Linked DNA regions of Elephas maximus indicus. The protein of the gene in region 1 interacts with the protein of each later gene in a biochemical or structural test. Links are inferred from orthologs where the notes say so. Each region holds a gene or a part of one and is shown in the gene's direction. Other genes may lie near its edges.

Region 1 (3,746 bases):
CCATTCACAGTTGATCGCTGAAGCTTGATCAATCGTAACACTCACACCATTAGTTATTTTCACTATTAAAAAACTTCCATCCTTCCATCCTGTTTCCTCCATGCATTGTTGCTTTAACTGTTGCTCAAGCTCCCAAGATGCTTGACCCAGAATAGCATAGCGATTTGCTCCCAATATACCAACACACCTCTGTCATGTTGTCTAAAATCGCACTGGAATGAGCCCTGGACTGGAGCTAGGATACCCTATTTCTGGGTCTGCTCTGTTACTGATTAGCCTGTATGTTCCTGGGCAATTTACCTCATCTCTCTGGACCTCAGTTTCTTTAACTTAAATCGAGAGAGCGGGTCTAGATGAGCTCTGAGGTCGTTAGGTTACAAGTTAGGATTCCGAAGTGCAACCCAGAAGTGAAACCCAGCCAGTGGTCAACCCAGCTCTGGGTAGCTGTTGCGGTTTCAATACGAAGTACCCGTGATGCAGTCTTAATGAAAGGCTGTCAGGTTTGCTAGGAAGAACCTTCCGGTTTTGTAAGACAGGAGCTCCGGGTTTCCAGTTCTGCCACTAATTCCGGGTGACCTTGGGCAAATCCTTTTCTCTGGACCTTAGAGAAGGGAGGTTCTTGTTATCCACAGACTAGAAGACCTGGGCTTTCCACGGTTCCCGTTCAACAATCCGGGTGGCTCTGCCCCAGAGCAGGATCCTGGCCCATTTTCCCTCTTCGAGATTCAGTCGAAACTTAGACCAGCCCTACTGGCTGAGGGCGGCTCAGCCTTGCAGGATTACAGGTGAACTCTTAAAGGGGCCACCAGAGTTTGGGTAATACCTGAGACTGATGGCTGGGCGAAGACGCAGGCGCAGGGGAATGAATGAGTGAGTGAATGAACCAACGAGCCTCCTCACCCTTAAATGCACTTATACTGGGAATTAGTCATTTAAAAAATTCTCTACTACATCTCTCAAAGTCTTACCAAATTACCCAATCTTCCTATTTTACGTGCCCTTCTTTAATTCAAAACTTCCAAACTCTTTATGAGGAGCGAAGAGTAACTTTGCAAAAACCAGTACAAAGTGTTGAGGTGGCACCCCCGCCCTAGCTCTTCTCCTTTTCTCCTCCCAATCCCCGCTGTCCCCGCCCCACACGTGGGTGGTGCGGTCTGCTCCTCCCCAATGCCGCTTCACCCGGCTGGGGACCCACCCCCGGGGGCGCCAGGCACTCTCGGCTGCCTCGGAGTTGGAAACAGCACGTGTTTAGTGAGGTTAAGGGTGTATACGAATGTGTGTGCTGGATCCAGTGTGAGGGAGGTCACGTCTCTTCAGACACCTGGACCCTTGCGGGCTCGGCGCGCTTTTAGCTCAGAACCGCGGGACACCGGTGGGCTAGGTAAAGGCGGGCTCTTCCATGGCTACCCGGGACCACCTGTAGAGTCTGCGTGTCAACTCCTTTGTCCTCGGCGCCACTTCAGTGGCCGCCCCTTTAAGGGAGAAGGATCACTTGGGACGCTCTCCGAGTCCCCCTGCCCGCGCCGCAGCCCCCTCCCGGCCCTGCTCCCCGTTTAACCCGAAGGTAGCAGCGCCGGGAGCCCCGGGCTCGGCGCGAGCCGCCTCCTCACTTCCCATTGGCTGAGAGCGCCGGGAACGCGGTCACGTGGGGGCGCGGCAGTCCAGCTCCGAGGCCGCCATCTTGGCGGAAAGTTTGGGGGGAGAGCGGTTGGGGGCGCGGAAGGAGGCGAGGTTCCGGGGGTGGGGCGGCCGGGAACGGAGAGGGCGAGCGGGCTAGCGGGCTGCGGCGAGCGCGGAGGCTGCGGCGGCGTTCGAGGAGGAGGGAGAGGCAGCGGGGGTGCGGCCGCGGAGGGGAGCTCCTCCCCCGTCCCCTCACCCCTCTCAGCTCAGCTCCTCGAGCCCCGGGCGGGGCGGGGGGACGTGGAGCAGGGCAGGGCGGGGCAGCCGCCCCGAGTCGCTTCGGAGCGCACCCCGCTCGGAGCCCACGCCTCTCGCAGGAACTTTGTGGCGGAGCCGCAGGTGTGGGGGACCGCGGAGGCGTGCATGTGGGGCGCGAGGGCGTCGCGGAGAGCGGCCGCTGTCCTGTCCGGGCCCCGCCGGAGTAGCCCGGAGAGAGCGAGCAAGGAGAAAGGCAAGCGAGAGGAGGGGGCTGGAACAGGGCGGGTGCTCAGCCCGGTGGGTCCCTTCGGGAGCGCTTGGCGGCCGCCGCTGGGCTGGCTCCGGGGCCAAGGGTCGGAGCGCCTCTTGACCCCTCCCCCCGTAGCAGGTGGCGAGGCCGGATACTGGGGCCAGGGTTGGGGAGGTGGCCCCAGGTCTAGGCGTTTAGTGTTCTTGGAGGAGGAGGAAGCTTTCGAGGAGAATTTGCAAGAATGCATTTCTGTGTGCTCTTCATCTGGAAGGGTACCCACCCCGAGGTGAAAGCCTTCTAGATTGATTGACAGCGCTGGGTTTTGAGTCCCTCCCTTTGACTTGGGAAAACTTTGCAAGGTGGGCTGTTCCAGTGGGCCTGGGAGTTTTTCCGATATGGAGTGTGGGGAGAAATGCTAGTTTAACGACGACTGTATTCTTTTTCCTTTGTGTTTGTGGCTTTAAAGGTGTGTGCCCTCTTCCTGATTCTGGAGGAAAATGCCGGTCCGGAAGCAAGGTGAGAATTTGTCTCAGAAGTGTCTCGTGTGGGTGTCACTTAGTTTTCCATGTATCTGTTTTGTGATTGTTACCTTTCAGAATGCTTGTGTAACTTTGATGAAACAGCACGGTCCTAGCTTTACGATTTGGGGAATTTAAGCTTCACTTTATTTCAGAAGAAACCTAAATGTTAAAACTTTTTCCTTGACAGCTCACCAGTTACTAGAGAGTCAGTTAATATTTTCTCCTGAAATCTTTCAACTCTGAATTGGTATTTTAGTGTGTCACTTTATACTTCTTACTATTTTGTGAGCAAATGTGGGATATTAAGTACTAGTATTTTGCAAATACTTAGGATTTGAGTTATAACGACAAATTGCAGCTTTTGCATGTCAGGTAATCTGAAATTATGTTGGTAATACCTTAATCTTTTACTGTGGCTGGCTACCAGCACACATTTATTAGAAATTACTCACCTGCCTCCTTTTTCTACTGTCAAGTAACGTGTTTAAAAAAATTTTTTTTGATCTTCCTGGAGACTGTACGTTTACATGTACCTGGTGACATCAGTTGACCTGGAGGATTTTGGGAATTGCTGAGATGTCTTGCACAATCATTTGTCTGCATAGCTAGTGGGTAATACTTTGTCGTGAATATATAATTTCAATCAGGCCTTTTTCTCCTTTTAGATACCCAGAGAGCGTTGCACCTTTTGGAAGAGTATCGTTCGAAACTAAGCCAAACTGAGGACAGGCAGCTCAGAAGTTCCATAGAGCGGGTTATCAACATATTTCAGAGCAACCTCTTTCAGGCTTTAATAGGTGAGAATAAAACTTTGTGACCGTTATGTGTCTATTAGGCGTAATCTTCCTTTGAATTCTGTTATTTTAAATCAAAGAGAATGAGGTACTTGGCTTTCTATGAGGCATTCATCACCTTGAATGTCTTCAGTGAGTTGTATGTTTTTGATACACCGGTATGTTTTCCGAAAATACCTAATAACCAGAATAATTTCAGCATGATTATACCAGTGGTCTTTGATAACAGTGTTTCATATCTTAGCATTAAGTATTAAAAGTATTAAAAGATGGAAGACATTGCAGAAATGTTTCAGAACTCAG
Region 2 (3,746 bases), on another chromosome or scaffold:
ATTAGAAGACTAGATCTGCAGCTCCGGACTAGTAGCTTAACTGGAGTGGTGGTGGAGCAGATAGATGGAGAGAAGAGGGCGGGCTCAAGGGAAAAATTGGGAGGTAGAGTCAGCAGGATTTGTTGACATCAAGGACGTCTCTTAGTTTATATGGAAAAATTTGCCTCATAAAATTGCGAATTTTTAAAGTTCTGAGCTGGGTGGAGGCCATTACTTTACTTCCTATGTTTTGGTGTTTCCTAACCTCGTTGAAAAAAAATGGAGTTTTTTTTCCTCTACTGAAATGCTTATTACAGATAACCAGGGAGATATCGGTAATGACTCTTGCATATGCAATGGGATAGGACGAGAATTAGCAGATTGTTTCCGTTCCAAAGTTAAGTACTTTCCTTCTAAGAATTTCTTCGTGGATGTTGGATGGCGGCCCAGTGGACGTCATTTATTTATGCCCAGGCTCTACCCCCTGCCGGACTCTGCATAGACCCTGTGTGAAGAGACTAGTGAGGGTGGAACGCTTTGCAATCACAAGTGCCACTTACACGTTGATTATTGTTATTGAGCCCAGGACGGCCTTTTGAAGCCTGAGCATCTGCGCCCCTCGCCCGCAGCCCAGGAAACAGGAGCGTGGGCGGTGCGGCAGTGCGCGCTCCGCAGCCCTAAGCGCCGGGTGGGATTGCGCTCTGAGGGGGTGCGCCTTCCGCAGCTTTAACATGGAAGGGGCGGTTCAAATGACTTGGGAAGTCGCAATTTGCAGGACTGAGGGCTGGTGCTTTGCAAGAAAAACGGAGAGGGAAGGATTTCCCCGCCCCCGCTTCGCTCCGTCCAATCCCTTCGGCTTCTCCTTTTCTTGGCCGGCCAGCCCGGCCCCTAACCTGCACGAATCTATTATGCGGTAGAGGCGGCCGGGTCTCTTTAAGGCCCTGCCGCGCCTGCGCCTTGGGTTTTCCTGACGCGGCCAGGCCGGACCCTGGAGAACCCGGCAGGCGGACGGGCGAAGGGCCGGACAGTGGTTGAGCCAGCGGCGGCATTCTGAGGGGTGGTGGGGGTCGGCGGAGGCCCCGAGTTCGTGAGTTAGTGCAGCACGCGTGAGACGGCGGCCCACGGATCCAGGAGCCGGGCCGAGGCGCTGGGACGCGCGACGGTGGCGCGGCTGCCGGCTGGATGGGAAGTTAATGTTTACAGCGGAGTTCACCCAACGTCTCCAAGGTGAGCGGCGCTGCGCCAGGCCGGGCGGGCCGCAAGCCCGGGCCCCGCGGGGGCGCACGGCGGGGCCCAGGCGCAGTGGGAAGGGGCTGCCGCCAAACTTGCCGAGTGAGCGGGCAGGCGTGCCAGACCCCGCCGGGGCCTAAGTTCCCTGCGCTCGCCTCCTTGCCTGCCGCTTGTCGGGATCCTCCTTCCGCGGGCGCCGGGGAAGAAACTCACCACCGGCGGGTTTTTCTGTAGAGTCCCAGAGGCGGAGGGACGGGGCAGCTTCGGGGCCCTGCACCCCAGCCCTCGAGGCCAGAAGTGGGTTCTCTCTGGGTGGCCTTGAGGGGATGATACCATCTGCGCCCCTTACCTGCAAAGTTGGAGACTCTATATAGCCTCCTTGGATTTTGCGTATGGCGGTGTCTACAGACAGGTGATGGGCATTCCAGGTGTGCCAGGTGACTCCAAGGATGCACTTGGGGAGGGTTTGTAGCCATCACTGAATCACCTTATGACTAGCGGGGCAAGCCTCAAATTAACCACAGGATTTCCGGTAGGTTGGATTGTGGTGTTGGTGTTGGCTCTAGAGTTGCTGTAACATTTTTGTGTTTTTTTCTGTCTTTTGGACGTCTCCTACCATCTCAGGTAGTATCCTTTCACCAAAGAGTTAACCAAAACTTTTGGAATGGTTCCCTCACTTTTCTCCTGTCTGTCGCTATTGGGGATGTTTTCGAAAAGCAGCCGCATTTTCTTGCAAAGATATCTCTTCTTTCGCTTACAATGTGGAATAATAAACTCCTTTCTTTGCTGTAAGAAGGAATTCCAGTGCTTCATGAAGTTCAAGAAAAATTATCTCTTGGTAGTTTTTACTTTGATTGTGGGCTGGTATGTATTAGTGGCATTTTTGTTCTTTAATTATATTTGTAAAATTTTATCAGTTTACCAGAAGCTTTTTCCTAGATCTCTGAGAACTTTGTGTCAGAGGAATCTTAGAAAGTTTATTGAGGTGCACAGAAAAAGTGCACAATTTTAAGTGTGCAGATAATGAATTTTTATGAAATGAACCACTGCACAAATCAAACCCAGTTGCCATTCTGTCTGTTCTGACTCCTGGCAACCCCATATGTATCAGAGTAGGACTTTGTGCATAGGATTTTCAATGGCTGATTTTTTGGAAGTAGATTGCCAGGACTTATATTTCGAGGCAGCTGTGGATGGACTCAGTCTCCAACCTTTTGGTTAGCAGCCCAGAGCGATAATTGTTTGCACCACCGAAGGACTCCAAGAGTATATACTGTATTCCTGTTGCCTTCCAGTCAAGTTTGACTCATAGTGACCCTATAGGACAGAGTAGAACTGCCCCATAGAGTTTCCAAGACTGTAATCTTTACAAAAGTGGACTGCCACACCTTTCTCCCTCAGAATGGCTAGTGGGTCTGACCATTCCGTTAGCAGCCAAGCGCCTAACCACTGCACCACCAGGACTCTTTCAGATATTGTGTGGAGGAGTGGAATCGCTGGTGTTAGACATGCTGGTGGCGCAAATGGGAAAGGTTGGTGGTTCAGTTCCAACCAGCATTTCCAGTGAGAAAGACCTGGTGATCTGCTCCCATAAGGATTCGAAAAAACAAACGAATGAACAAACTCTTTGTCGTCCAGTCGATTCCGACTCATAGCGACCCTATAGGACAGAGTAGAGCTGCCTCAGAGAGTTTCCAAGGATGGACTGGTAGATTCGAACTGCCAGCCTTTTGGATAGCAGCCTGAGATCTTAGCCACTGTGCCACCAGGGCTCCCTCATAAAGACTACAAACTAGAAAACTCTGTGGGGCTCTTCTGTGCTGTCACAAAGGGTTGCTGTGAGTCGAAAGCCAATTCCATCGCACCTAACAACAAGGTATGTGAATGATCAAACTTCAGTATTCATGCTATTGAACATTTTCCCTAAGTGGTTGTACCAAGTAGCAGGGAATAATAACCCAGTTGCCCTACATCATTGCTGGTGCTTGTCAGTGTAAAATTTTTTACTATTCTGGTAGAGGTGCAGTAATACATCACTATGAGGTACAGTAATATATCACTGTGATTTTATTTTGTGTTTTTTTCCTGATGATTGAGGTTGGGTATCTTTTACTGGCCATTTATATGACTTCATGTGAAGTGTCTGTTTAGTCTTTGCCCAGTTTTCCTTGGTATTCTTTTTTTTATTGATTTGTAATTTTTTATTAGGGATATGTGTTCTTTCTGGATATATATAAACCAGTAGCCTTTGTGTTGATTCCAACTCATGGTGATTCTGTGTGGTACAGAGCAGAACAGCACTGTGGCATTCATGCTGACTTTTCAGAAGCAGATTGTTTAGGGTGTGGGTGTATATCTGTGTGTGTATTTACACACACACACACAGCATTTATCTTTTTCCACTCTGTATCTTGCCGTTTCACTGTTTTAATGAATGGAAGTTCTTACTTTTAATGAAATGTTCTTTATTAATCTTTTCCTTTATGGTTACTACATTTTGTTTCCTAAGAAATCTGCACTTAGCCTAAGAAATGACG

The links.
Region 2: the proteins of DLG1 (region 1) and EVI5 interact in a test that uses a peptide from one of them, tested with the Homo sapiens proteins (2 studies listed by IntAct, with this or other methods). The link is inferred for Elephas maximus indicus from reciprocal best matches to the Homo sapiens genes DLG1 and EVI5.

The regions. Positions count from the first base shown.
Region 1 is NC_064819.1:18,852,271-18,856,016, reverse strand, and holds the start of DLG1 (disks large homolog 1), read left to right. Parts: upstream 1-1,207; 5' UTR 1,208-1,381; intron 1,382-2,041; exon of another isoform or gene 2,042-2,131; intron 2,132-2,594; 5' UTR 2,595-2,625; coding exon 2,626-2,644; intron 2,645-3,314; coding exon 3,315-3,446; intron 3,447-3,746. UniProt on the Homo sapiens protein: Essential multidomain scaffolding protein required for normal development. Recruits channels, receptors and signaling molecules to discrete plasma membrane domains in polarized cells.
Region 2 is NC_064821.1:149,459,445-149,463,190, forward strand, and holds the start of EVI5 (ecotropic viral integration site 5 protein homolog), read left to right. Parts: upstream 1-1,255; 5' UTR 1,256-1,699; coding exon 1,700-1,741; intron 1,742-3,746. UniProt on the Homo sapiens protein: Functions as a regulator of cell cycle progression by stabilizing the FBXO5 protein and promoting cyclin-A accumulation during interphase. May play a role in cytokinesis.